Mus musculus: one gene and its partners. The protein of the gene in region 1 purifies or fractionates together with the protein of each later gene. This does not show direct contact. Links are inferred from orthologs where the notes say so. Each region holds a gene or a part of one and is shown in the gene's direction. Other genes may lie near its edges. The genes, in order: Rbbp4, Smarcb1, Cbx1, Sap30l, Arid4b, Hjurp and Kdm5a.

Evidence for each region.
Region 2: the proteins of Rbbp4 (region 1) and Smarcb1 purify together in Homo sapiens (affinity purification with mass spectrometry; 3 studies listed by BioGRID, with this or other methods). This does not show direct contact. The link is inferred for Mus musculus from reciprocal best matches to the Homo sapiens genes RBBP4 and SMARCB1.
Region 3: the proteins of Rbbp4 (region 1) and Cbx1 purify together in Homo sapiens (affinity purification with mass spectrometry; 3 studies listed by BioGRID and IntAct, with this or other methods). This does not show direct contact. The link is inferred for Mus musculus from reciprocal best matches to the Homo sapiens genes RBBP4 and CBX1.
Region 4: the proteins of Rbbp4 (region 1) and Sap30l purify together in Homo sapiens (affinity purification with mass spectrometry; 3 studies listed by BioGRID and IntAct, with this or other methods). This does not show direct contact. The link is inferred for Mus musculus from reciprocal best matches to the Homo sapiens genes RBBP4 and SAP30L.
Region 5: the proteins of Rbbp4 (region 1) and Arid4b purify together in Homo sapiens (affinity purification with mass spectrometry; 5 studies listed by BioGRID and IntAct, with this or other methods). This does not show direct contact. The link is inferred for Mus musculus from reciprocal best matches to the Homo sapiens genes RBBP4 and ARID4B.
Region 6: the proteins of Rbbp4 (region 1) and Hjurp purify together in Homo sapiens (affinity purification with mass spectrometry; 5 studies listed by BioGRID and IntAct, with this or other methods). This does not show direct contact. The link is inferred for Mus musculus from reciprocal best matches to the Homo sapiens genes RBBP4 and HJURP.
Region 7: the proteins of Rbbp4 (region 1) and Kdm5a purify together in Homo sapiens (co-immunoprecipitation; 3 studies listed by BioGRID and IntAct, with this or other methods). This does not show direct contact. The link is inferred for Mus musculus from reciprocal best matches to the Homo sapiens genes RBBP4 and KDM5A.

The regions. Positions count from the first base shown.
Region 1 is NC_000070.6:129,318,371-129,321,870, reverse strand, and holds part of Rbbp4 (histone-binding protein RBBP4), read left to right. Parts: coding exon 1-17; intron 18-1,324; coding exon 1,325-1,402; intron 1,403-3,350; coding exon 3,351-3,427; intron 3,428-3,500. UniProt on the Homo sapiens protein: Core histone-binding subunit that may target chromatin assembly factors, chromatin remodeling factors and histone deacetylases to their histone substrates in a manner that is regulated by nucleosomal DNA.
Region 2 is NC_000076.6:75,908,115-75,911,614, reverse strand, and holds part of Smarcb1 (SWI/SNF-related matrix-associated actin-dependent regulator of chromatin subfamily B member 1), read left to right. Parts: coding exon 1-96; intron 97-1,333; coding exon 1,334-1,461; intron 1,462-3,500.
Region 3 is NC_000077.6:96,787,713-96,791,934, forward strand, and holds the start of Cbx1 (chromobox protein homolog 1), read left to right. Parts: upstream 1-1,422; 5' UTR 1,423-1,641; intron 1,642-4,222. UniProt on the Homo sapiens protein: Component of heterochromatin. Recognizes and binds histone H3 tails methylated at 'Lys-9', leading to epigenetic repression. Interaction with lamin B receptor (LBR) can contribute to the association of the heterochromatin with the inner nuclear membrane.
Region 4 is NC_000077.6:57,800,211-57,804,436, forward strand, and holds the start of Sap30l (histone deacetylase complex subunit SAP30L), read left to right. Parts: upstream 1-1,426; 5' UTR 1,427-1,881; coding exon 1,882-2,079; intron 2,080-4,226.
Region 5 is NC_000079.6:14,192,784-14,196,283, forward strand, and holds part of Arid4b (AT-rich interactive domain-containing protein 4B), read left to right. Parts: intron 1-582; coding exon 583-798; intron 799-2,546; coding exon 2,547-2,693; intron 2,694-3,500. UniProt on the Homo sapiens protein: Acts as a transcriptional repressor. May function in the assembly and/or enzymatic activity of the Sin3A corepressor complex or in mediating interactions between the complex and other regulatory complexes.
Region 6 is NC_000067.6:88,264,080-88,267,579, reverse strand, and holds part of Hjurp (Holliday junction recognition protein), read left to right. Parts: intron 1-921; coding exon 922-2,399; 3' UTR 2,400-3,500. UniProt on the Homo sapiens protein: Centromeric protein that plays a central role in the incorporation and maintenance of histone H3-like variant CENPA at centromeres.
Region 7 is NC_000072.6:120,405,599-120,409,098, forward strand, and holds part of Kdm5a (lysine-specific demethylase 5A), read left to right. Parts: intron 1-261; coding exon 262-386; intron 387-976; coding exon 977-1,127; intron 1,128-2,069; coding exon of another isoform or gene 2,070-2,259; exon of another isoform or gene 2,260-2,607; intron 2,608-2,646; coding exon 2,647-2,761; intron 2,762-3,500. UniProt on the Homo sapiens protein: Histone demethylase that specifically demethylates 'Lys-4' of histone H3, thereby playing a central role in histone code. Does not demethylate histone H3 'Lys-9', H3 'Lys-27', H3 'Lys-36', H3 'Lys-79' or H4 'Lys-20'.

The DNA.
Region 1 (3,500 bases):
CAGGATCGGCTGACAAGGTAGGTTTGCCTCCTTTGGATTTTTTTTTTTTTTAAGATTTATTTATTATATATGAGTACAGTGCAGCTGTCTTCAGACACCCCATGTACTGACTAGTTTTGTGTCAACTTGACACAGCTGGAGTTATCACAGAGACAGGAGCTTCAGTTGAGAAAATGCCTCCATGAGATCCAGCTGTGGGGTATTTTCTCAATTAGTGATCAAGGGGGAAAGGCCCCTTGTGGGTGGGACCCTCTCTGGGCTGGCAGTCTTGGGTTTTATAAGAGAGCAGGCTGAGCAAGCCAGTAAAGAACATCCCTCCATGGCCTCTGCATCAGCTCCTGCTTCCTAACCTGCTTGAGTTCCAGTCCTGACTTCCTTGGTGATGAACAGCAGTATGGAAGTGTAAGCCGAATAAACCCTTTCCTTCCCAATTTGTTTCTTGGTCATGATGTTTGTGCAGGAATAGAAACCCTGACTAATACACCCCAGAAGAGGGCATCAGATCTCATTACAGATGGTTGTGAGCCACCATGTGGTTGCTGGGATTTAAACTCAGGACCTTCAGAAGAGCAGTCAGTGTTCTTAATCACTGAGCCATCTCTCCAGCCCCCTGTTTGGATTTTTGTTGTTGTTTGAGGTTTTAAATTTTTATAGGTATTGGTATTTTCACTTACATATATGTCTTGAGCATGGTGCCTGGTTCCTGTTGAAGTCAGATCTCCTGAGATTTAATTTTACAAATATTTGTGAGCCACCAAGTGGGTGCTGAGTTAATGTTTTATTTTAGTTAAAGATTTTCTTGTCTTTTCTTGTAAATTTTTAAAAAGTGCTTATTATATTGGCAGGATGCCTCAGTAAGCAAAGGCACTGACTGGAGCCTGAAGATCTAAATCTAAATTCAGTCCCTGAGACCCAAATGACTAAAGGAGAGGCCAACTCCACTCCTACAAGTTGGCCTCTGATCTTTGCATGGTTTTCATGGCACGTGTGTATACACTGAGTAGATAAAATATATGAGGGGCATAAACTGTAGATCAGGATTTTAAATAAAAATATATAAATAAATGAATGTAATTTTTAACTTAAAATTTTTTAAATTACATTTATGTATGTATTTGGCAGGGGTGGAGGGACATATGTGGTGACAACTGAAGAGGTCAAAGGACAGCTCTCCAACATCTGTTCTCTACTTTCACTATTTAGGTTCTGGAATCAAACTCATTTGACTCCTCAGCAAGCACCCTTAGCCGCTGAACCATCTTGTTACTTTAGGGTGTTCTTATCTGATAAATTAATAGTAATTTATTTTTATTTTTGCACATAGACTGTTGCCTTGTGGGATCTGAGGAATCTGAAACTCAAGTTGCACTCCTTTGAATCCCATAAGGATGAAATATTCCAAGTAAGAGAAATCAATGTGCCTACCCCTCACTTCCCTTTCTTTCATCTTCCTTTGTCTACAGGAAATCTGCTCAAGTTAGTAGTATTTGAGAGCTGAAAAAAATCTTTGCACCTCTTGGTTTCTTGGGATATTAAGAAACTAGTGCTGGATTATTGTGTCCATGCCTATAATTCCAGCACTTGGGGAACTGGGGGAAGGGAGGTACCTGTGTGTTCTCCTCAGACCAATCATTAAATTCCTTTTTTTTTTCTGGCTGTTTTGTTATTTTTTTGATTTGTTTTTAAAGATAGGATTTTTCTGTGTATTCCTGACTATACTGGAAGTTGCTTTATAGACTAGGCTGGTCTTGAACCCAGAGGTCTGCCGGCTGAGTGCTAGGATTAAAGGAGTGAACCAACATTGCTTGTCTCTTCGTTTTAAAATTATTTGCTGCTCAGTGGGAGTGGTGGTGCCCACCTATCTCCCAGCTTGGAGGCAGAGGCAGGTGGATCAAAATAAGAAAAATCCTGTCTCAAAATCTGTGTGTGTGTGTTTTGAATTGAACACTGGTCTTCTAGAAGTTTGGCCAGTACTCTGAGCCATATCTCCAGCCCCACCTTTTTTGAGATAATTTTACTATTTTAGCCATTGCTACTTAGACTCCTGTATGCCCCCTTTTTCATAGGGGTCCCCCTGACTCAATTAATTGTCTGCTGTTTTTTTTTTACATCTTTTTTTTTTTTTTTTTAAGATTTATTTATTTATTATATGTAAGTACACTGTAGCTGTCTTCAGACACTCCAGAAGAGGGAGTCAGATCTTGTTACAGATGGTTGTGAGCCACCATGTGGTTGCTGGGATTTGAACTCTGGACCTTCGGAAGAACAGTCGGGTGCTCTTACCCATTGAGCCATCTCACCAGCCCAATTGTCTGCTGTTTTAAAACACATGCTCTAAGGCATTGTGACAACCACTTTACAGCCTTTTCTCTCCAGCGTGAATTTGATAGTGAAGACAGGCATGATAATACAGGCCTCTAATCCCAACGCAGAAGAAGCTAACCAAGTAGTCACAAGTAGTTCATCCTGACTATCTAGGAAGAGACTCTACATTCATCAAGACTACTAATCCCAGCATGCAGAAAGAAGAGGCAGGAGAGTCAATACAAGGTCATCCTCACCTAAATAGACTTGAGTATTGGAGATATTTTATCTTTGTCTGGACTCCTTTTGGTGATCTTGCTTGAAAGAATAACTAAAGCCGGGCGGGCGTGGTGGCACACGCCTTTAATCCCACCACTCGGGAAGCAGAGGCAGGCAGATTTCTGAGTTCCAGGACAGCCAGGGCTACACAGAGAAACCCTGTCTCGAAAAACCAAAAAAAAAAAAAAAGAATAACTAAATTCTTCCCTAATCCATTAGTTAGTAATACCTTTCTTGTGCCATGAACCAGCATTTTCTTAATAAATAACACAGTTTGTGATTGTTGTTTGTATCTTTTATAGCTAACATGATTATCAGGAATCTTTGAGGAGAAAGATAGACACCTATCCTGTATTATGTGGTACATAATGAGCAGTTGAGAAAATAAGAGATTTATGCCACCTGTCGATATTTTAGTTTTATGTGTCAGAAATAAACTTCTTTTGACTAAAAGCTGGATTAGGTATAAATAAATAAGGTTTCAAAGATGTAAGTTGAAGCTAGGTTTGGTAACTTATGTTTCAGTGTGTGAGGTTAAGGCAAGAGGCACAGAAGTTTGAAGCCAATTTGAGCTGTATGCTCTGTGGCCCTGTTGAGCCACACTGTGGAACAAAGTAAAATACAACAGAAGCTGAGTTCTATCTTTAGTAATGAGTTCTTTTCATGTAAGCAGTATCTTTCAGCTTTAACCGTGTTCTCTGTTTTATTAATGAGGTTTTGTAAGGTATCTCTTCTATTCTCTAACTTTTTCTTCACTCTGGATATAGGTTCAGTGGTCACCTCACAATGAGACTATCTTAGCTTCCAGTGGTACCGATCGTAGGCTGAATGTCTGGGATCTAAGGTGAGTTTTATGTTAGTTACCCTATCCCTGAAGTTATTTGGGTCGGGGGTGTTTTGGGAACAGCTGTCCTCTG
Region 2 (3,500 bases), on another chromosome or scaffold:
GCCCAACAGCTCCCACCACCTGGATGCTGTGCCCTGTTCCACCACCATCAACAGGAACCGCATGGGTCGGGACAAGAAGAGAACCTTCCCCTTGTGGTGAGTAAGCGCCGCCGAGCTTGGCCTCTGCACAGATTCCAGTGTGCTTTGGTCTCCTTCTCAGATGCCACCCTGCCTCTGCCTCAGATGCTGTCCTCGTCCTTCCAGGACACCATCCTTGGTGCTCCGTATCCTCCCTGACCCCCTGCTGTGCTCGCTAGGCCTTCTTCTTCCCTGGAACTAAGTGTAATTGTTGGGGGCACAGTCCCTAGGCTGTCCCTGTAGCATGTTCCGTCCGATGCCTACCGCCAATCTGGAGGGTGTCAGGGAATACCCACTTGACTCTCACTGTGTCAGTTCTCTGTGGCTGCTGAAACAAACCACTGTAGTGACTTACAACAGTATGGATTTAGTTTCTCCTAGTCTAGAAGTCAGGAGTCTGAAATAGGGTCACAGGCCAAAGTGAGGATGTAGGCAGGCATTGCTCCCTTCAGAGGCCCTGCTGCTCACCCCTTCCTCAGCTTACAGCCATAGCCACAGCACTCCAGTCTCTGCCTCCTCTGTGGTCCTGCTGACTCCTCCATGTGATAGCTCCCTCTGGGTTTCTTAGAAGGACATGTAACGTGGGGCCTCCCTGTCCATGCATGCTGACTTGGTTTTGTGCATATCATGAGCGGTTAGCACAGCTGCTTTGAGTTGGTGAGTGCAGTGGGCCTCTAGAAGACACTGCCTTTTATGGTCCCCTCCCTCCATCCTGTCTTATGGCCCTCCCCCTTAAGCTTTGACCTGTGGCTCTTAGTGTTTTTCCACTAGTTTTCTGAAAAATTCTGAGCTTTAAGGGGAAGAGGTAATTTTTGTTTTTTTGAGCCAGGGTCTCACTCTGTATCCCAACCTGACCTCAGACTGTTGGCAGTAAGTCTCAGCCTTCCCTGTGCTGGGATACAGGCACGAGCGTCCAGAGCCTGCTAGCATATCTAGGTTTTCTTCTTTCAGGGCAGAAGCTTCCTGGCTCTTCCATGCATTCAGGAAGCACACTGCCTGGCCCCGTGCAGACCGTCACCTAGACATGTTTGACCCTGTTTACTGCCCCCTGCACTTCCTTTAGACTGGCCTGGGGACTCCTGACAACCTCTTCTGTGCTGCCCCAGGACTAGATAACAAATGCCTAGAAGAAATGGCGTCTCTCTTCCAACGCAGGGACCTACAGTGCACTAGGAAGCCAGACACTGTGTCTCTGGGGACCTGGACCCAGGGAACCCTGGAGCCCTGACTGACATTGCTGCCCTTACGCTTTCAGCTTTGATGACCACGACCCAGCTGTGATCCATGAGAATGCGTCACAGCCTGAGGTGCTGGTGCCCATCCGGCTCGACATGGAGATCGACGGGCAGAAGCTGCGAGACGCTTTTACCTGGAACATGAATGGTATGTGATAGCTGGTTTTTGCCTGAGCCTTATTCAAAATATCCACTTTTCTCCAGCTGCCCATGGGGCAGAGTCTAGACTTGACGTTTGAAGCTCTGTGGCATGGATCTTAAGGTTATAAACTCCGGTTCATTCTGGCTCTGCTGTGTGCCTATTCCTTGTGGACTGGGCATGTGTCTTAGAGGTTGTTTTTTTTTTTTTTTTTTTTTTTTTTTTTTTTGTTATTGCTGTAGCAAGATACCCAAACCTGGGTAATTTATAAATAAATAAATATAATGTGTCTCTGAAGGCTAGGAAGCTCAAGGTTCAGCTGCTGAATAAGGTGTGCATCTGTTGAGGCCTCACACTGCTTCAGCTCCTGGCAGAAAGCAGAAGCAAGGTGATTGAGAGACAAAATGAGGACATGGTTAATATAGTCTGCCTTGTAGACAAACCCAACCTAAAGGGAATAAATGCATGCATTAGAGAAGGTTCTGCCTGCCTGCCTACATACTCACAGCTCTCAGTAAATAAATAAACATGTGGTGGTACACTGCTCTAAGGACCAGCCTGATTCAGCCGGCGACATAGAAGATCAAGTAAAATCATTTGTAAAAATCCACAGTGTGAATGAACCCCGCCCCCCAAAAAAAAATTAGCATGGAAAAAACAGGGAGGAGAGTCAGCAACACTGAGGATATGGCTCACAACCATCTGAAATGGGATCTGATCCTCTTCTGGTGTGTCTGAAGACAGCTACAGTGTGCTTATATACATAAAATTAATTAATTAAAAATAATAAAGCTGATACAATTTGCAAAACACATGAAACTGAAGAAGAACGAAGACCAAAGTGTGGACACTTTGCCCCTTCTTAGAATTAAAAACAATCACCCATGGAAGGAGTCACAGAGACAAAGTTTGGAGCTGAGACAAAAGGATGGACCATCTAGAGACTGCCATATCCAGGGATCCATCCCATAATTAGCTTCCAAACGATGACACCATTGCATACACTAGCAAGCGTTTGCTGAAAGGACCCTGATATAGCTGTCTCTTGTGATACTAGGCCGGGTCCTAGCAAACACAGAAGTGGATGCTCACAGTCAGCTATTGGATGGATCACAGGGCCCCCAATGGAGGAGCTAGAGAAAGTATCCAAGGAGCTAAAGGGATCTGCAACCCTATAGGTGGAACAACATGAACTAACCAGTACCCCGGAGTTCTTGACTCTAGCTGCATATGTATCAAAAGATGGCCTAGCTGGCCATCACTGGAAAGAGAGGCCCAGTACAGGGGAACGCCAGGGCCAAAAAGTGGGAGTGGGTGGGTAGGGGAGTGGGGGGAGGGTATGGGGGACTTTTGGGATAGCATTGGAAATGTAATTGAGGAAAATACGTAATAAAAAAATATTTAAAAAAAAGAAACACACAGTAGGAAAAAAATAATAAAGCTGGAGCTGGGTGGTGGTGTTCTATGTCCTTAATCCCAGCACTGTCAGGAGGCAGAGGCAGGCGGATCTCTGTGAGCTCGAGGCTAGCCTGCTCTATATAGTGAGTTTCAGGACAGCTAGAGCTACATAGTGAGACCCTGTTCCAAAACAAAACAAAAAGGGCACTTCTCAAATCAGGCACTGTCGTGGGAAGAGGGCAAGCCACGGTCAGCCTAAGCTAGGCTGTAAGGCTCTAACAACAAACATGAACACAGAGCAGTGACAGCAGTGTGTGAGTGTGAGGTTCCGCCCTCTTGGGAGTCAGTTAGCTCAGGGTAGTGCTTCTCAACCTGTGGATCATGACCCCTTTTGAGGTCGCATATCAGATACCTACATTTCAGTTCATAACAGTAGCAAAATGACAGTTATGAAGTAGCAATGAAAGAATTTATGTTGAGGGTCACCACAACATGAGGAACTGCATTAAAGTGTCGCAGCCTTAGGAAGGGTGAGAACTCCAGGGTGAGAAGGGTGAGAGGCTTCAGGGCCTTGGCATGGCAAGTATCTGTAGTTCCAGAGATGCCCAAGGCGTCGCTCCGGCTCAGTCCAGCTGCGTGCTCACTGCTCA
Region 3 (4,222 bases), on another chromosome or scaffold:
CTGGAACTCACTCTGTAGAACAGGCTGGTCTTGAACTCAGAAATTCTCCTGCCTCTGCCTCCTAAGTGCTAAAGTGCTCTTAAACTCCCAGCAATCCTCCTGTCTCAATCCCGGGTACTAGGATTAAGAGGCTTGAATCTGGCCTTGGAAAGTTTGATCAGTTCTATTATCAGTTGGACATCTCAGTTATTCACTTAATCACATATTCAAGGAATTTTTACCAATAAATACTGAGAGTCAAAACGTGACCTTGTGGCCGGGCGTGGTGGCGCACAACTTTAATCCCAGCACTCGAGGCAGAGGCAGGCCGATTTCTGAGTTTGAGGCCAGCCTGGTCTACAAACTGAGTTTTGAGAGAAACCCTGTCTCAAAAAAACAAACAAAAACAAACCAACCAACCAACCAAACAAACAAACAACCAAAATGACCTTGTCCTTGCTAGAAACAAACACCAAGGATCCTGAGTGTCGTGGACACAATGAGTCATATGAAGCGTCTGTCCTTACTGGAGTTCCTAGTTCAACAATTAGCAGCAACCTACCTGAATCAGAGTAGCACCCGTGTTAAAGAATGACAGCCCAGCCGTGGTTTTTGCTTAATTCCGTTTCTTTAGACTAACTTGATAAAGGATGTTCACAGAGATGGAGAAATCCCCATGAAAGTCACCCACCGGCAAGGGCAATAAAGGGAAAACTTTGAATGTGGTGGTCTGTGTTTGTAATACTCGGCATTTGGGAAGTGAAAACAGGTAGATCAGACTTCCTTGAGACCCTGTCCACTCAACAGAACCAACAACCAAAAATAAAACAAGAATAGAGAGGGAAGGAAGGGGAAAGAAAAAAAGCAAATTCAGAAAGTGTCGATGGTGTCTACCTAGACGGTTAATCTACTGCTTTCTGAATGGAGCAGTGATTCAAACTGAGAGGTAGGAACCCCAGTCAGGTGGCAATAATAGGTAAGATTGCTGGACATTATTGAAGGTGATTTGATAAATCTCAGGTGACGAATACAATATTTTTCTTTTAAACGCAAACGGACCAAACATCAACGGGCTAGTTTCCAAACCTGCAGTGTCCTACTTTTGTAGACTGAGTAAGGAATACCAGCACGCGCCTGGAATCCAGCACTTTGACATTTGAAGCAAAAAGAAAGGCCACGAGTTCGAAGCCACCTGGGCTGCGTATCCTGTTATTAAACAAACAAACCCCACCACTACCCATCAATTTCCTAGACTGTAGAGTTATGTTCTAAGTAACAGTCGACTTCGCCTTTCCAGTCAAAAAAGAAAACAAAACTACGAAAACTCCCTACAATCCTTGAAAGTGGAGGTGGGCGGCGCGGGATTCGCGCGGTACTTTGGGATCTGTAGTTTCTGGCCGACTCTTAATCCCAAGGTGCCCTGCGGCGGGTCGTCGCGTCTGCGCAGTGCAGGCGGCGGGCCGCGCAGAGTGAGAGGCTCTTTTGTTCGGCTGAGGGGAGGGCCGTTAGCGGGGCCTGCGGTACGCCGCTTCAGCGGGACGGTCGACTTGTGGCCACACGGCTCTTTGCTCCTCTGGGCGCGCTACTCCCCTCGGACCGCCCGACGCAACGCGCGAGTAGCGCGGCACCGATTCCTCTCGGACTCTCGGGCGCTGCTACGAGGTGAAGAGGCGGGCTGGAGGCGGGGTGTGTGGGGGGAGGGGACGCGGCAACGGCGGGAGGCCGCGGACCAGCGCGGGCCGCTAACGGAAGAGCGGAGACCGAGGAATGGGGGGCGCGCCCCGGCCCAGCGCCCGCCGGGTCCGCTTCCCGCGCAGAGCTCGCGGGTTGCGGGAGTGTGGAGAGGGCGGGGCAGCGAATCCAGAGCCCGGGAGCCGAGTGGTTCGCGATGAGCGGAGCCAGCGGAGGGTTAGCTTTTCAAGAACTGGACCAAGAGCGTTTGACCCGAGTGAGGGACTCTAGAGTTGGGCGGGAGAAAGAAAACTTTGGGACGTCCATAAGGGGGACAGGTGCTTTTGGGTGTGCGTGGCAGGGACCACGACTTCGTACTCTCGAGGTTTAGAAATGTAACCTGAGAAAGCGGACACGGTGGCAATCGCAAGCAACCCCCGTAGCACTTGGAGGAAAGAGAGAAAAAGTAACCTGAGGATATTGGGTCCAGTTGCCACTATCAGAGAAGTTTCTCTTGCCAGAGTTAAGAAGAAGTAACTTCCAATAAACTTGAACAGGAGGATTTGGGCAGCTCACGGTGTGCTAGCGGGGAAGAGATTTGTTGAATCCGTCTAGGGGTGGGGGTGGGGGGTCAGGCATTTTCTTGACCTTGTCTAAAAGTGGAGTTGCTGGGATAGGTAGGGTAGAAGTCTAGAGTGACTGGTCAAATGTGGAAGAAAATAAAGGGTCCCTGGGGATGTAACTTAGTTGGTAGAATGTTTGCCTAGCCCACTGCACAGGCCTGAATTCAATCCTCTGTACCTTATAAATTCGGGCTGGGCTTGATGGCATTCATGTAGCCCTTGGGAGCGGAAACAGGACGATCAGGAGTTTAAAGCCTTGCCTGGCCACCAGGGGAGTCAAGAAAGGGTGAAAAGGCCACTTTGTGCCTTGTAATGGGTCTTCAGTGTGAGTTGGGAGGCTGTGGAAGAACACGTGTAAGGCAAGACTCATCCAATGAAAGAGATCTGTTCTTTGTGCGTAAGCCTGGGGGCCTCAGTTTACCTCTCAGGATCCAGGTAAAGGTGGAAAGAGCGAGCAGACTTCACAGAATTGCCCTCTGAGCTACAAATTAGGGAAATGGCAGGGACCCTCGAAAGCAGGTGCATGCCCACCGGCAGCGAGAATATTTTTATTTAAAAAGCAGTATAGAAATATAGAACTCATTTCGGTGTGTGGTACTGAGGACCTTGCACACATGTAAGTTATCTACCACTGAGTTATGTTCCAATACCATAAAAAGGTTTTTTGAAAAATGAGTTATGCTAGAACATAGGGTAACCTCTCCAGTTTTGTGTTAAGAATCATGTCAGCTTTTTGGAATAGTTTCAAAAGACCTAAGGTTTTCTGGTAGATGTATGGCTACAATCAAGAAATTGGTGCCTATACACTTCCTGGATGCTCTCTAGGCATATCTGGGAAGTGGTGTGTTGAAAAGAGCCCAGTTAGGCCTTGCTGCATGCACTCCTGTAATCCCAGCCAGCACTCGGGAGGTGGAGCCTGGAGCAGCAGGAGTTCAAGACCTAGGAGGAAGGAGGCTTTGCTTCTTAAGATCTGGGCAGTGAAAGATCATTTCTGGTTTCTGTTTGTTCAACTTTTTATCAATAGCTTTATGATAGATTATTTAAACCTTCCCTTCTAGGTATTTTTCTGAGCAGTTAAGAAAAGTAGAGGAGGGTTGGAGAGATGGCTCAGCGGTTAAGAGCACTGACCGCTCTTCCGAAGGTCCTGAGTTCAATTCCCAGCAACCACATGGTGGCTCACAACCACCTGTAATCGGATCTGACACCCTCTTCTGGTGCATCTGAAGACATCTACCATGTACTTATTTATAATAATAAGTAAATCTTTGGGCAGGAGCAAGTCAGGTTGGCTAAAGCAAGCAGAGATCCTAAAATTCAATTCCAAGCAATCACATGCATGCTCACATCTATCTGTACTGCTACAGTGTACCCATGTACATTAGATAGATAGATAGATAGATCCTTTTAAAAAGAAAAAGGGAAAGGGGAAAAAAACTATTGTGTGTCAGGCAGTGGCTTGATTTTTTTTTTCTTTTCTTTTTAAAAAGATTTATTTATTATATAAGTACACTATAGCTGTCTTCAGACACACCAGGAGAGGGCATCAGATCTCATTACATATGGTTATGAGCCACCATGTGGTTGCTGAAATTTGAACTCAGGACCTTCGGAAGAGCAGTCAGTGCTCTTAACCGCTGAGCCATCTCTCCACTACGATTTTTCTTTCTTTTAAGACTTATTTATTGAATGTATGTGAGTGCATTACATAAACATTCAAAAAACACCAGGAGAGGGCATTGGATTCCATTACAGATGGTTTTGAGCCACCATGTGGTTGCTGGAAATTGTACTCAGGACCTCTGGAAGAGCAGTTGGTGCTCTTAACCACTGAGCCATCTCTCCAGGTGTCCCCCCCACCTTTTTCCTGTTTTTTTTTTTTTTAAGTGGGGGGTGGGGTGTGCCATTGCATACTTATGGAGATCAGGAACAACTTTGGGGGTGGGGGTCAT
Region 4 (4,226 bases), on another chromosome or scaffold:
ACAGTGGCCTTAAATTTTTATCTGGTAGGTGTATTTTCTAACATACTGTCTCCTGTGTGAAATTAATAAAAGTAAACTGTACAAACGCACTTTTAGACCTCTGGAGAGAATTTAAGAGCTTTCCGGACACCCATCCCATAACCATACCTCTCCCCCACAACACTACTGACTGTAGGACCCGACCCTCAGAAAATTCCCTGTGTCCTTGCATCAAGGACGAGGTGACACCCTGGTCTTGGCAGGGTGCGGTGGCCTCCTCCCGGGTTGGTCTGAGTTAGCTTGAAGCAATAAAACTACAAATCAGTCTCTAACAAGTCTGAAGGTGAGTCCTCCGTTGGTGGCCTAAGGGCTTTTCACCTTTGCCTCAGCCCACAAAGTCCACCCTGAAGATCAACCCAGGCCAGGGTTGCTCTGACGCTGGGCTCTCCTCCTTAAGTCCCTTCTTCCTTGGTGCCCGCTGTACTCAAAGATTTCTAGTTCACCTGTCCGACCTCTCCTGTCTCTCAGTGCCTCTTTACGCGCATATGCACTTCCTCGTTAGCTTCATGTCCCACACCATGCACCCTGTCTCCCGCTGCCGCGTAGATCCTCCAGCCCAGGCTTTTCCGTTTTGCCCAGTCTGTTCTCCTGGCAGCACTTTCTCCCTAAGGTCTCCTTCCCATACCCTTCCCTTGTCCCTCAGTTTTCCTCCGCACGTCGATGCTTCAGTCCACTGCGAACGTGATCTCTGCTGCAAGTCTGTCCCTGCTTCCCGCAGACCCCACTCAACATAGGAGACCTTGCGGCCTGTCAGATCCGGCTTAGCATTTCGTTCCATAACCGGCTTGCTCACAACCCCACTATGGAGCCGGACCTCTGCTCAGGATCCCGCGCTGGGATTGGGAACCTGCTCAACATCCCATCCCGGAATGGAGACCCTGCGACCCTCCATATCCCGCTCAGCACCACTCCCTGAGGTGGAGGCCCCGCGTCCCTCCTGACCTAACACAGCATCTCGCCCCAGAGCCAGAGGACCTCGCTCACCATTCCTGGCCCGGACCAGGACATCTTGCATTCTTCCAGACCCCGTTCAGCATCCCTCGCGGAGCGAGGTCCCTATTTACCATCCTAACGGCCTAGAACATCCTGCATCCCTCCAGACCCATCTCAGCATCCCACTCCACAACCAGGACTAAACCTGCGGCCCGCTGTCCTCTCTAGCCCGGGTAACTCTTCCCTCTTGCACTTTCTCTACTTTGAACCCATCCCAGCAGAGTCCAGGAAGTAGCCTGGCACCGGAGACCGGCAGCGATGGCGCCCAATGGGAACTGCCAGCGGCGACGTGGGCCCCGCCTACATAAAGAATACGACCATTGAGCGCACAGAGGCGGGACTTCCGCTGTGCCGCGGCGGGCGGGGGAGCGCACTGTTGTGGTGCGGCGCGTCGGGCGGGCGGCGGCCGGGGCGGCCCAGGGGCTGCCGCGGGGACTCGGGGCGCCGCCGAGCGGCCAGGCGCTGGGGCGGCCCGAGCACACCGCGGGGCCCGGACACGGCAGGTTCGAGGCCGGGCCCCCGCGCGGGGAGCCACGGGGTGGAGACTTTGCCGCGCGGCGCGGAGCAGGCGGGAGCCGGCGGGGGCCTCGGGAGCCCCAGGGCGGCCGGGCCCGGATCCCGGGGGAAGCCTCGTGAGCCCCGGCCGGAGCCTCGGCGTGTGCATCCCCGCCGGGGCCCGGGCTGCAGGAGCACAGAGCAGCCGGGCCTCGCGGAGCTCGGAGCGCGCCTGACCCAGGGCGCACCGTGGGACCCGGGCGCGGGGCTGGCGAAGAGCTGCCCCGCGGGGCTAGCAGCCGCGGAGTGGCCTACAGGGGTCCTCCCCCGGAGGGGCCGGGCCGGGGCGGGGAGATGAACGGCTTCAGCACAGAGGAGGACAGCCGCGAAGGGCCCCCTGCCGCCCCCGCCGCCGCCCCGGGCTACGGCCAGAGCTGCTGCCTCATCGCGGACGGCGAGCGCTGCGTCCGGCCCGCGGGCAACGCCTCCTTCAGCAAGAGGGTGCAGAAAAGCATCTCGCAGAAGAAACTCAAGCTGGACATAGACAAGAGCGTGAGTCTCGGGGCATAGCGCAGGGCCGCGGGAAGGGACCCCGGGGACGCTCCGCGCGGTGGGCCTCGCCGCGCAGTCTGTGCAAAACAGGGGACTCAGGTTCTTGGAGGCCGCTCGGTGCTCCGCGACGCTGCCCGCGTCCCCGAGGGTGGGCTGGGAAACCAGGGAGGGCTTGGCACACTCTCCCTGCCTGGGAAAGCGACAGCAGTTTCCAGCTGTCACTGTTGCGCCGAATAGCAGAGCAGAGAGAGGTGGGTTACTTTTGCAAGAATTGGGCAAAAGAGGTGACAAGGGAACCGGGAGGATCTTCTCCAACTTCGTCCTCCCTCCAGGGACCTTGTCGCTCTTTCAGACACTAGCAAGGTGGCCGCGACTTTCCTGTCTGCCGCGGCCTCCGGTCTCTGCAGCGCAACACAGAGCCCGCTTCGCTGGCAGCGAATGAGTTTTTCTGAGATGTGGCAGAAATAAGGCCAAGGCCGGGTCTTAAATGATTTGCTGTGGATGTGATTGAAGGGGGCGGGGAATCAGCTTTCTTGCGGGGATTAGCATCTTTGGTAATGCCGTTGGAGGTGGAGAGGTGCAAATTTAAAATGGAATGAGATTGCCCTATGCCTTGTGGCTAATTATAAGAAACTTCCTGAGTGATTTCACCTACTCTGGTCCTCAAGATGTGCCTACTGCCAACCGGTTAAGAACTTTTCAGTTTGACATCTGTTGCTGCAAGCCCTGAGTGGCAGCTTCCAGGTTAGGAATTGAGACTGAGTTAAGGAACTTCTCATATTCAGGAGTTTGAATGATTACTGTTCAACGGTTTGGGGAAATCAGACATTGCTTGGTAGCGGGAAAGGGAGCCGATCTTTACACTTCTGATGTGGCAGAAACTGAGGCTGGGGGCGGGGGGGTAGGAAGCAATGGCGCCAAGAGCACACTGCACTTAAAAGCTGGCTAATTTCCTAAGCCCACTTATTGCCTGGCTTGCTTCCAAACCTTACACCCAGTTTTCATTCGTCTATAATAAATAAGATCATCATCCTTTCTTCTAGACTCTTCTCTTGCACACTCAGTTTTATTTAGTCAACCAGTAGAATCCAGCTCATTTGAAATCGTGCTGGGTTTTGTTTTTTGTTTTTTTATGATTGGGACCTTCCTTTTTACAAATGTCTTGTCAGTAAATAAATGAGTGAGTGAATGAATGAATGAATGAGATTACTCTGAAGCAAAGCTGGCTAAACCCTCAGGTGTCCCCTGCTAATCACACATGGGAGTGAAAGTGATCCCGAGACTGGGGATGAGTTTATCCACATGGAAACGGTGCCTGCCTCCCGTGTGGGCTGCTGGCAGTGCTCACATCTGGATGGTTTTGTTGTTGCAGTAAAGACTCCATTTATCCACTCACCCCATGGGGAAGCCATGTGGAGCAGTGTTGAGCATGTCGATGTCACACACACTCACACACACATCATCATCATCTGGAAGAAAGGCCCCCTCTGCCCTGTACTAGCATCCCCAAAGGCAGTACTTGGGAAGGCTTGTGGTTAGATGTGCGGCCTTAGTCCATTTCAAGGTGGTAGTACAGAGTCATTATCTCTGAAACAGTTTCTATTTCATTCCACAGATGGGCAGGAATTCAGTCCCAAGTAAGTGCTGTGTTACTAGAATGTCTAGCTGTTGTAGCAAGTGAAACAGGAAAGAAAAAACAAACAAACAAACAAACAAAAAAACCCAGACAACCACAGTGAGCCTTTGCTTCCACCCTAAGGCCCCCACCTCACCCACAAAAGCCCCTGAGTCCTGAGATTGCTGAAAAGCAGATTAGACTTGAACATGGTTAAGGACAGAGAATAGCTGTCTGGTAAAAGGATCTGGCAAAAGCCCTTTTAAAATACTATAGCACCCCCCTTCAGGTGGCCACTGGCTGCCTCTGTACTGTATTAGTACATAGCCAACTTGCCGCTGATGGGTTTCTTCTTTGCTTCTGGAGAGTGCTCGAAGCTGGGGATCACATAAAGGAAACAGGCTCCAGTGTCGCTTGGGTTGCTGCCCCCTGCTCTGGTCTGGCCTCTTCCTACCTAAGCTTTAGAAACACCCCACTCTGCCACTCATTCTTCCCAGTTTACCACTATGCTGTGGGAAGCCACTTGCGCTCT
Region 5 (3,500 bases), on another chromosome or scaffold:
AGCTATTGAGTGTAAAGAGGTTAAGGAATCTATTAGTGATGGTGATATGTACTACTGTGGCAGTGGAATTGCTACATGTTGCTGTGTACTAGAGTTGTGTAGATAATGAAGACGTTCCTACAAGGAATCCTTTATTCCAACAGAGTAAAAAGCTCTTTAGCTAGGTAAGAGCCTGTGACTGAGTGAAGCATCTGTGATATAGGTATGTGGGTGCATCAGCTACTGGCTCACTGTGTTTCATAGTAAAGCTAGCAGAATGGAAGGTCAGTGCAACGAGTTCATACCTATTGGCAATATAGGTGGGAAGACTTTGGCATTTGTTTCCCTTGGATGAGCTATGTCTGCATACGCATGTGCTTTTTCTAGGTTTTATTTTTCCAGTGCTGGGGGCTGAACCCAGGGACTTGGGCTTGCTAGGCAAGCATTACACAACTGAGCTAAATCTTCAACACCGATTTTCTAGGATTTCTAGGTAGATTGTTTACTGTAGTAGAAAAATCAAGTGGTATATTTAGAGTTATCCTCGTAAGTTGATGATAGTTTGACCAACTTTTGTTTACTGATGGTTTCTTTCTCTTTCAGCAAACAGTAGTGACAGTGAAGAACTCTCAGCTGGTGAAAGTGTGACTAAGACTCAGACAATCAAGTCAGTCCCCACCGGAATGAAGACCCACAACAGCAAGTCTCCAGCAAGGGTACAGTCTCCAGGAAAAGGTGGCAGGAATGGGGATAAAGACCCTGATCTCAAGGAGCCTAGTAACCGGCTTCCCAAGGTTTACAAGTGGAGTTTTCAGACGTGTAAGTGACATATGTAGTTTAGATGTAGGAGTTTTGTCTTAGTTACTCCTGATGCCGGGGCTTTAAAAAAGAAACTACACTGAGCCTGAGAGACATGGCATAGTATAGACCTTACTAAGATCCTGATTAGAATGAACAAATTGCTAAAAGAAAATATTAAGACAGGTGCTAGCCAGCACTGAGTACATGTAAGGCTGAGAATCTGCCTGGAGACAGTGTAGGGTGCCGGAGGAATGGCTTACTAGTTAAGAGTATGTTCTTCCAGAGGAGGGCAGTTCAATTTCCTGCACCCATGTCAGGCATCTCACAACTGTAACTCAGGGGCTCTGATACCTTGGTCCTCTTTGGGCACCTGAACTCAGGAACATAGACCACACATACCCAATTAAAAATAGTAAAAATAGGAGTGGGTGAGATGGCTCAGTGGGTAAGAGCACTGACTACTCTTCCAAAGGTCCTGAGTTCAAATCCCAGCAACCACATGGTGGCTCACAATCATCTGTAATGAGATCTGACTCCCTCTTCTGGTGTGTCTGAAGTCAGCTACAGTGTACTTGTGTATAATAATAAGTAAATCTTTTGGCTGGAGTGAGCGGGGCCGGCCAGAGCAAGCAGAGGTCCTAAATTTAATTCCTAACAGCCACATGAAGGCTCACAACCGTCTGTACAGCTACAGTGTACTCACATACATAAAATAAATAAATCTTTAAAAATAATAATAATAAAAATAAATCTTTTTCTTACTTTGTCTTTTAAAGAAAAACATCGTATGGTAGCTAGGTATGGGTCCACCCACCTGTACTCTCAGAGCTCAGGAGTCTGAGACTGGAGGATTGAGAGTTTGAGACTAACATGGATTACAAAATAAGACCCCCGTCTCCTTTCTCTTCCAAAATACAATTTTAACCTTTTGGTGTCTTTGCACCATATTTGTAAATATACTTTTCCTTTTTGAAACAAGATCTTGCTATATAGCCTGTCTGGCTGGGTACTCAGTGTATAGATAAGGTTGCCTTCAAACTCAAGGCAATCCCTGCCTTAGTTACCTGGGGGCTAGAATCTCAAGCCTGCCATCATAACTGGGTTGGTGGGTTGTTTTGTTTTGTTTTGTTTTGTTTTTGAGACACAGTCTGGTTATGTAGCCTTGTCTGGTCTGGAACTGACTGTATAGGCCAGGCTGACCTGGGACTCAGAGGCAGCCTCCTTCATTTGCCCCCAAGTGTTGGGATTAAAGGTGTATTTCACCATAGCCTATACCAGGTATAGCCAGGCTCCATTGGCTATTTTAACTCATACACTGTGGCAGTGTTGTGTATAACTAGAAAACTTAGTAGAGCTGGGGACAGCTCTATAATCCTAGCATTCAGAAAACAGAGACAGCAAGAATGGAAGGCCGGGTCAGTTTGGGCTGCATAACAAGACCCTGTTTGCTCAAAAGAAGAGTTTTAGCATAATGCATAGATTATAAAGTCTTTGGTTTGTATGTGTTCATTCAACAAACCCTGTACTGTACATTTCATTGTGTCTGGTTATTGTAGTCAAAGGGCAGGGAGTAGAGCTATATTTTGATGTCTTTGTTTTGTGTGTGTGTGCTTTAGCTGGTATAACAGGTGTGCACCAACACACATGGAAAGTTGTTTCTTGTAGTTACCTGTCTTAGACCTTACTCTAAGACTACATTGGCTTTTTTTCATTTTTATTAACTTTTATTCCCAAAATACTTATTAATGAGGCTTTTAAATTAACAGCGGACCTGGAAAATATGACAAGTGCTGAACGTATCTCAATTCTTCAAGAAAAATTGCAAGAAATCAGAAAGCATTATCTGTCTTTAAAATCTGAAGTAGCTTCCATTGATAGGAGGAGAAAACGTTTAAAGAAGAAAGAGAGAGAAAGTAAGTACTTTTTCCTTAAACATAATTTCCGTTTATTACATTGCTTTTGAGGAAGGACTATGTCTGTTGTTTCTGTAGCCAAATTCTTTACGCTGTCAGCTTCATCTGTTAATGACATCACAGTGCCTACTCACAAGGCGTATACCCTCAGTATAAAGATAAATAGGGATGTTAGGCCTTCACTGGGTGGCAAATGGCTGTAGACTTAGCATTAAGAAGGCAGGGATATAGCAAGAGTGGGAGGCTCCAGGTCAGCTTGGGCTACGTAGTAAAATTGTTTGTCAAAAAAGAAGTTTAGCATAATGCACAGATCATAAGATCTGATTTGTGCATACTCATTCAACAAATCCTGTATTTTGCATTTCCTTTGTGCCTGGTATTATTGTAATGACTTTGTTTTAAAGAATTCTTTGACAGATAATCACACATCTAATGGGCACAGTATGGTATTTCTGTACATCCATACTTGTGGAGTGATTACTTCAGGATTTTTAGGTTGTCCATCTTCTCTTTGTTATAACAACATTCAAGCTGAGTCAGGACTATATAGTGAGACCCTGTCTCATAGTCTAAACCAAAGTAAAAGCAAGAGAGTGTAGACTCCATGCACTGTAGTTACTCTCTCCTTCCACCTGTGTTTATGTGTTTGCATGTGTGTGGACAACCTCAGATACCTTATTTTTTAAGACAGCGTATTTCATATGCCTGAGCCTTGCTCATAGGCTAAGCTGCCTGGCCACCAGGCTCTGCTTTTTTACATAGGTTCTAGAGATGGAACTGGGTCTCTGTAGTCATTTCAGTGACTGG
Region 6 (3,500 bases), on another chromosome or scaffold:
TTTGGGTCATATATATAGCCAAGTACATGCCCCTAAATGTTTCACATGTACTTCCCAAGGACTGGGTGCTTCTCAGTGATTATGACAAGTTTAGAATGTGCCAAAAACTTCTCATTGGCATGCTACAATTTTTCCAACTGACCCACGATGTCCTTTGTGGCCACTTTTGTATTAGACTGGCTCGGGCAGCACCCACTGCGTTTAGCAGCTGCTTCAGTGGTCATCACTGGGGTAGCCTGTCTCAAGTGCTCCATTTGGGGCTGTTCCTGTTTCTGTAGGTTGGGTTTTACTTTTTGAGATCTATGAAGTACTCGTGTAATGTAGAAGTCATAGCTGCGTGGGTACCGCCTTCCTGGCCCTCCCTCTAGAGGTCAGGAGTTTGGGGTTATTTACAGTTTGGTTTTTTTGCCATGTATGTTTGTGGGGTGTGTGTGTGTGTGTATTCAGGTTTCACAGACTACAGAGGCCAGATGCCCCTGGAGCTGCAATTAAAGGCATTTGTTGCCTGGTATGGTGCTGTGAACCGAACTCGGATGCTCTGGAAGAGCAGCAAGGCTCTTAAGCCCTGAGACATCTCTTCTGTCCCCTTTGTTGGCTTTTCTTATTAAAATGTTTACGATGGTAGAATTTTTCTAATTAATTTTTTGAGGTTTTCATCTATGTGTGTATTGTATTGGCTTTTAAGCGGAAGCCATCTCGAAACAGTGTAAGGGGAGAAGAGTCCTTTTGCAAAGCTGGAGTGGAAGATTAGAAATCCAATTTTGACTGCTGAAATAAAGTCTGCTCCTTAACCCTTCTGGGGTTTTATTTATTTATTTAAACTGTCATGGTTTGTGATGCCCTCTTGAGCTCCCTGCCCGGTGGGTAAGTATGGGTGGATTGAATGGTGGTTTCTCTTGACTTTGTCTATTTCTCTCCTAGGATGCCAGGATGCTATCTCTGCAAAGAGCTCTGGTGGTCCTGAAGTATCTGCTTTGTCCTCTAGAGGCCAGGGTCCCTCATACCCTTGCCCAGCTGATATGGCCATTGTGGCTAGAAGTGATGGCCTCTCCTTACTTGGGACCAGCAGCAACAGCGTAAGCAGCCAGTCCTTTGAGGTTGATGACCTTTGCAATGTGACAATCAGCGATTTGTATGAAGGCATGATGCATTCCATGAGTAGGCTGCTGCGCTCAAAGCCATCCTGCATCATCTCCACCAAGACCTACATCAACCAGAGCTGGAAGCTCCGGAGGAGACCCTCACGCAAGCAGGGGCTGCACAAGAACAGGACACACTGCCCCCGGAGCAAGCCCTCCCAGAGGAGTGCCAGGAAGGGGCCTGCGTCCTGCTCAGAGCCCGGGAAAGAGGCCGGAATATTAAGAGACTACGGGAATTTACTGCACGTTGCTCCCCACAAGACAGGCTTAGAACTGAAAAGCGTTTCTCTTGAAGGAAGCAAACGCCAAGTCCATAAATCCAGTCCAGCTTGGAAGGAGCTCCAGATGATGCCGCAGAAGGACTTGGACTTAAACCGTGAGCGAGAAAATAGGGTGATGACATTACAGTGGCTAATTTCACCCGTCAAGGTGGTTCCCAGACCAAGGATGCTTCCAAGTCAAGTAGAGAAGTGGTATAGAGAGATTAAAATCAAATTTGACAAGCTTCATCAGGAATATTGCCTGTCTTCTGGGAAACAGCCTCGCCTGACTGACCCCACAGAGTCTTGGGCTGTCGATGTGTACAGAAGTGGTTCTAAGAGCCCAGGCAGCCGTCAGGATGTAGAAACCTGCAGGCCCAGTTCACCTTTCGGCAGAGAAAAGACAGAAAGGCCAGGTGAAGCTTTAGAAGACCTGAGGGGAAATGGAAAGTCTGTCAAAACAAAGAGCTGTCTTCTAAGGAGCTGTCCCTCTCCAGAGGGCAGCCCGTCACGGAGCCCCAGCCATTCTCAGCTGAGCTCTGGCCTTCAAGAGCACAATTCTGAACCTACTGGTAAGGCAGTGTGGCCCAGTACAGCTATTTCAGCACCAAGCATAGGCTCTCCAGGCTGTGGGAAGGATAACTATGATGAGCTTAAAAAAGAATTCAACAGACTTTATCAGAAGTATTGTCTGTCACCGCAGCGGGCGAAGGTGACTTCGTGTGGCAGAGTATCGCCAATGAAAGCTGCTGCAGCTCTTCCCTGTCAATCAGAGCACTTGAAGAGACTAAATCCAGACTCCCCACAACAGAGTTCCCAGAAACGGTCAATCTCTCCTGGCTGTCACAGAAGAGTCCTGCAGGATTCAACTGCACAGACTGCTAGTACACTTGTGAGAGACTCTTGGCTGCCAACAAAGAGGTGCAAGTTGTCATACCCGGTAGCTTGTGCTCACCAGGCCAAGTTTCACGATACCTCAGGAGCATCAGGCTGGCCCTGAGTGTCCTGAGTGCTGATTGCGTGTTTGTCTGTTGGACATGATGCTTATGTGTAGTCAGCAGCTGCTTTGAGGAAGAAGACCTCAGCAGAGACTTTTGTTTCTCCTTTTGGAGGACGGTCCCCAGGGCATCCTGTGTACTGAGCAGTCTTCCATTGCAGCTCCCTGTAGCCACTTGGCCTCTGTCCAGCCACCTCCCCTGCTCCGTATCACAGCATCATCTCTGTCCTTTCTTGTGGGATGTTGGTGCCTTGGGCTTCTCTAGCCAGCCTTGGCCATTACTGTGTCTCTTTATCTTATTCAGGGGATTCTCAGTGGCAGTTTTCCTCTTAACATGAATTACTTACAGTGTCTCTACTCCCCACTCCCCCATCTTCACCTTCCTCACTTCTGCTTCTGAGTAGGTGAGTGTCCTTCAGGAGAGCACGGTGTTAAATCCATGAGTTGAGTCATGACAGAACGCTGTTCACACCTCTCGGCTTAGTCTTAAGAGCGCTGGTTGTGGGGGTGGGGGAGATGTTTTATTTGGTTTTTGAGGCAGTCTTGCATAGCTTGGGCTGACCTTGGACTCCTTGGATAGTCAAGGTAACCATGAGTTCCTGATCCTCCTTTCCAAATGCTGAGGCTAGTTTTGTTTTCTGATTTATTTCCATGGATAAAAATACTTTGTGAACTGTATTTCCCTGGTTGAACTGGGTCTCTGGCTGCCTGGTGTGGCAGGAATCCCTGGCAGGGTATTCCCACCAGCTATCTCCCTTTGCTCTTGGCCTTGAGCTGTTTGTCTAGCTGCCTCAACCTCGTGAGCCCCCTTGACTTTCCTAGACCAAACTGCTATCGTGGTGTGCCTTGGTGGCCTGCTCCAGAAATCACTATGGAAGTGACTGTGAGAGTGGACTCGTGTCTAGGTCACCTTGGGGTAATCTGAGATTCTGATGAGAAGAAAGGTCGCTGGAGACCTTAGTTCAGAACCTGCATCCTTTTCCAGCCTGTGTCCCCAGCTGTCCCAAGAATACAGCTGTGTCCCTTGCCCACCCATCTGGGCCTGCCTTCAGCTCCAGAGCCAACGAAATCTTGCTACTTTGTCTTTAAAGCCTGTCTTGCTAT
Region 7 (3,500 bases), on another chromosome or scaffold:
TTCCCTTTCCCTTTCCCTTTCCCTTTCCCTTTCCCTTTCCCTTTCCCTTTCCCTTTCCCTTTCCCTTTCCCTTTCCCTTTCCCTTTCCCTTTCCCTTTCCCTTTCCCTTTCTCTTTTTCTTTCTCTTTCTCTTTCTCCATTGAAATTGGGAGTTTCTCTGATATTTTTCCCCCCGCTATTTTTCAGGTTGTTGTATTTTGAAGCTTTTACTTCTGTTTTTTAAACTTTTTTTTTACTTTTTTTTTTTTTTTTTTTTGGTAGGTACCGCTATCCACTAGAAGACCTTCCATCTCTGCTTTATGGTGTCAAAGTGAGAGCACAATCCTATGACACTTGGGTCAATCGTGTTACAGAAGCATTGTCAGCTAGCTTCAACCATAAGAAAGGTTATGTTTCCTTCATTTTTTAATTATATGTTTTTTTCTCCATTAACAAATGGAAGTTCTAGCTTATAATGACAGAGTTGAATATACATTTAGTTTTCTCTTGTCCATGTACTTAGCAGACCTGATATAACTCAGCTTCTGAGATCAGATAGCAGGTATGGTCATTTGCTATGGCTGTAGGCTTTTAAGATTATCTACTGTGCTTTGTTGCCTCAGTCTCATGACCTTTCTACCCTTGGTGTCATTGCTATCACACCTATTGAGAATCTGTTTTAAATGAAAAAGCTGGCTTAAAATAGACAAGTTTGTAGTCGACATGTATTTTAGAGAACCAGATTTAGTTTAATGATACTGAAAGACTTTTGATTGTTTTCAAGAGAGACAAATTGGGATACGGGAAAAGGAGACAGGTCAAATATACCTTATTTGAGTGAAGTCATCTGTTGGGAATAAACATCTGATCAGAAGGTTTTATACTAGAGACTTTCAAAGCCACATTGTTTTACTAGTATGTTAGTGACTCTTAAGTGATCTTTATGACCATTGTAGAATGGCTGTTTTGTGTCTATTAATAATATTTGTCTTTACAGATTTGATTGAATTGAGAGTAATGCTGGAAGATGCTGAGGATAGGAAATACCCAGAGAATGATCTCTTTCGAAAGCTCAGGGACGCGGTGAAAGAAGCTGAGACCTGTGGTTCTGTGGCTCAGCTGCTTCTGAGCAAAAAGCAAAAACACAGGTAAACCAAGAACAGAATTCTGTGGATTCCTAGTCTTTCCACTTTAATTGGCCTATGAGGCCCTATTTTATATTTTGCTCCAGTGGCCATGTTTCTTCCATCCCTAGTAACTCCCATTCTTCCTCTCCAATCCTTCCTTCTCCATGATCATAAATTGTCAGAAGTTCTTTAAATTTAAGCTAGTTGTAAACTACACTAAGAAAACAGCAAAAGACCTGCTAGTTTCAATGCTGAAAATAATACTGAAGTTTATGCAGTATCCTTGTGACAAAGACCTAGCTGTATATTCAACTTTATCTGAAGTAACAAAAATCTTAGACACATAGGTTCAAGTTCCCCGAGATCCACTTGCCCGTTGTGGGGAGGTTAAGGGTATGCACCACAACATCCAGAAAATAGAGGTTTCTTAGCAGCATGGCTCAGGATGCTTAATCACAAAAGATTTGAATATGAATAAACTATTTTGAGTTCAGACAATTAGCTTTATTTTCTACCTTTTGTTAGAACTGATTGACTTTTTAGAAGAAGTTACCTTTCTAATTTTACATTTTTCTTTTCTTCAATAAACTTATTCCATTCTGCAACACTCTTTGACTTGCTGTTATTCGTACATACCAAGTATGCTCTTGTTTAGGGTTCCCGATTGTTTTTCATTCAGCTTGGGGTTTTCCTGCCATATCTGAGGCAGCTTGTTCACTTCTTTCTTCTTCTGACTTTCCTTCCTATTTTATAAACAATTTCTGTGGTATTATTTTATAGTTATTCAATATATTTCTTCTATCTGTGTGGCTATTTCTATAGTACTTTACATTCGATTTTAAGTTTTTATTTTTTTAAATCTAATCAGAGAACCTTTGCTAGAGACATTTTCCAGTGGATATTAACTTGCTTTTAGGAAAACTTGACCATATTTTTCTATGTCTCAGTATTATTTCGTATCAGGCAGAGCTCAGACCTGTTTCAAAATAAGTGTACGTGTAAAAGATTTTGGGGGACTGAAGAGTTGGCTCCATGGTTAAGAGCACTGACTGTTCTTGCAGAGGTCCCAGGTTCAGTTCCCAGTACTCACATGGCTTCAGTTCAAGAGATCTATGTATGCCCTTGCTCCTCCTTGAGCACCACACTCATGTGACACACAGACATATGTGCAAGCAAAACATCCATACACAGAAAATAGAAAGAGCTATAGTAAAACAAAACAGAATTTGGGATGTATTTAGGGGGTTCAGTAGTCTAAAGCAGATCAAAACCCTATGTTCCCAGTGTGAGCCTCTTTAAGATACAAGGATTTCATTTTCTCAGTGGTCTTCATGTTCTACCATGGGAATTTATTTAATGGTCAAATGTATAGTAGTTATAGATTAGAAGGACTGTTACTATTTCTTGATAATTATCTGGGGGGAATTATTCAACACTAGAATTCTAGGATTTCTAAGGCTTTAATTCATAGGAGAGTAGGAGCCCCATTTGATATCAGATTGACTGTATTTTTCTATGTCTCAATATTATTTCATATCAGGCAGAGCTCAGATAGTGGGAAGACTCGGACCAAACTGACAGTAGAAGAATTGAAGGCCTTTGTCCAACAACTTGTTAGTCTTCCGTGTGTCATCAGCCAAACTCGACAAGTAAAGGTGAAATATTCTTTTTGTTTTATTTACGAGCTTCTGTTCCAAATTAGAATTGTATGTATAGACTAGTGTTAGGGTCTGTGTATTCCTCCCTATATATGCTATCTTAAGAAATCTTAGATAGTATACATATGAGATACAAAATTTAGAGAGTTGAGATTTAGATAGACTACCTTTAGAAAGACTGGGCAGACTCTTGGCTTTTTTTTTTCAAGTTGTTTTGCCTCCGTGTATATCTGTGCACCATGTGTGTACAGTACTCATGGAGGCTAGGAGAGAGAGCATCAGATCCCCTGGAACTGCAGTTACAGGCCATTTTCTTTACCATGTAGGTACTAGGAATCACACTTGGGTCCTCTGGAGCAGCAGCCAGTGCTAGTGCTGTTAACCACTAAATCATCATTTCTCTGATCCCTTGGCCTTTATTCCATTTAAAAATCCTGAACTATGAGTACTTTAGAATTATTCTTCTCTATGCTAATTTTGAGTCAAAGTTCCATCTAACACAAATGTATTTTAAGTGCAGTGTACATAAAAAGAACAGAGAGTATAGTGATAAATCATTAATAATGCATGACACTTAAAAATCAGGGCTCTGACATTTCTAGGACTATTATTATTTAATGATCATAGAAAAATCTTAAAGGTGGCCAGATAGTGGAAGCACCTGCCTTTATAAGATCTTAGTTTGTAATATCTTAGTATCAGTTACATTCTTGTTTTATTGCATCTTGTTAGCTGT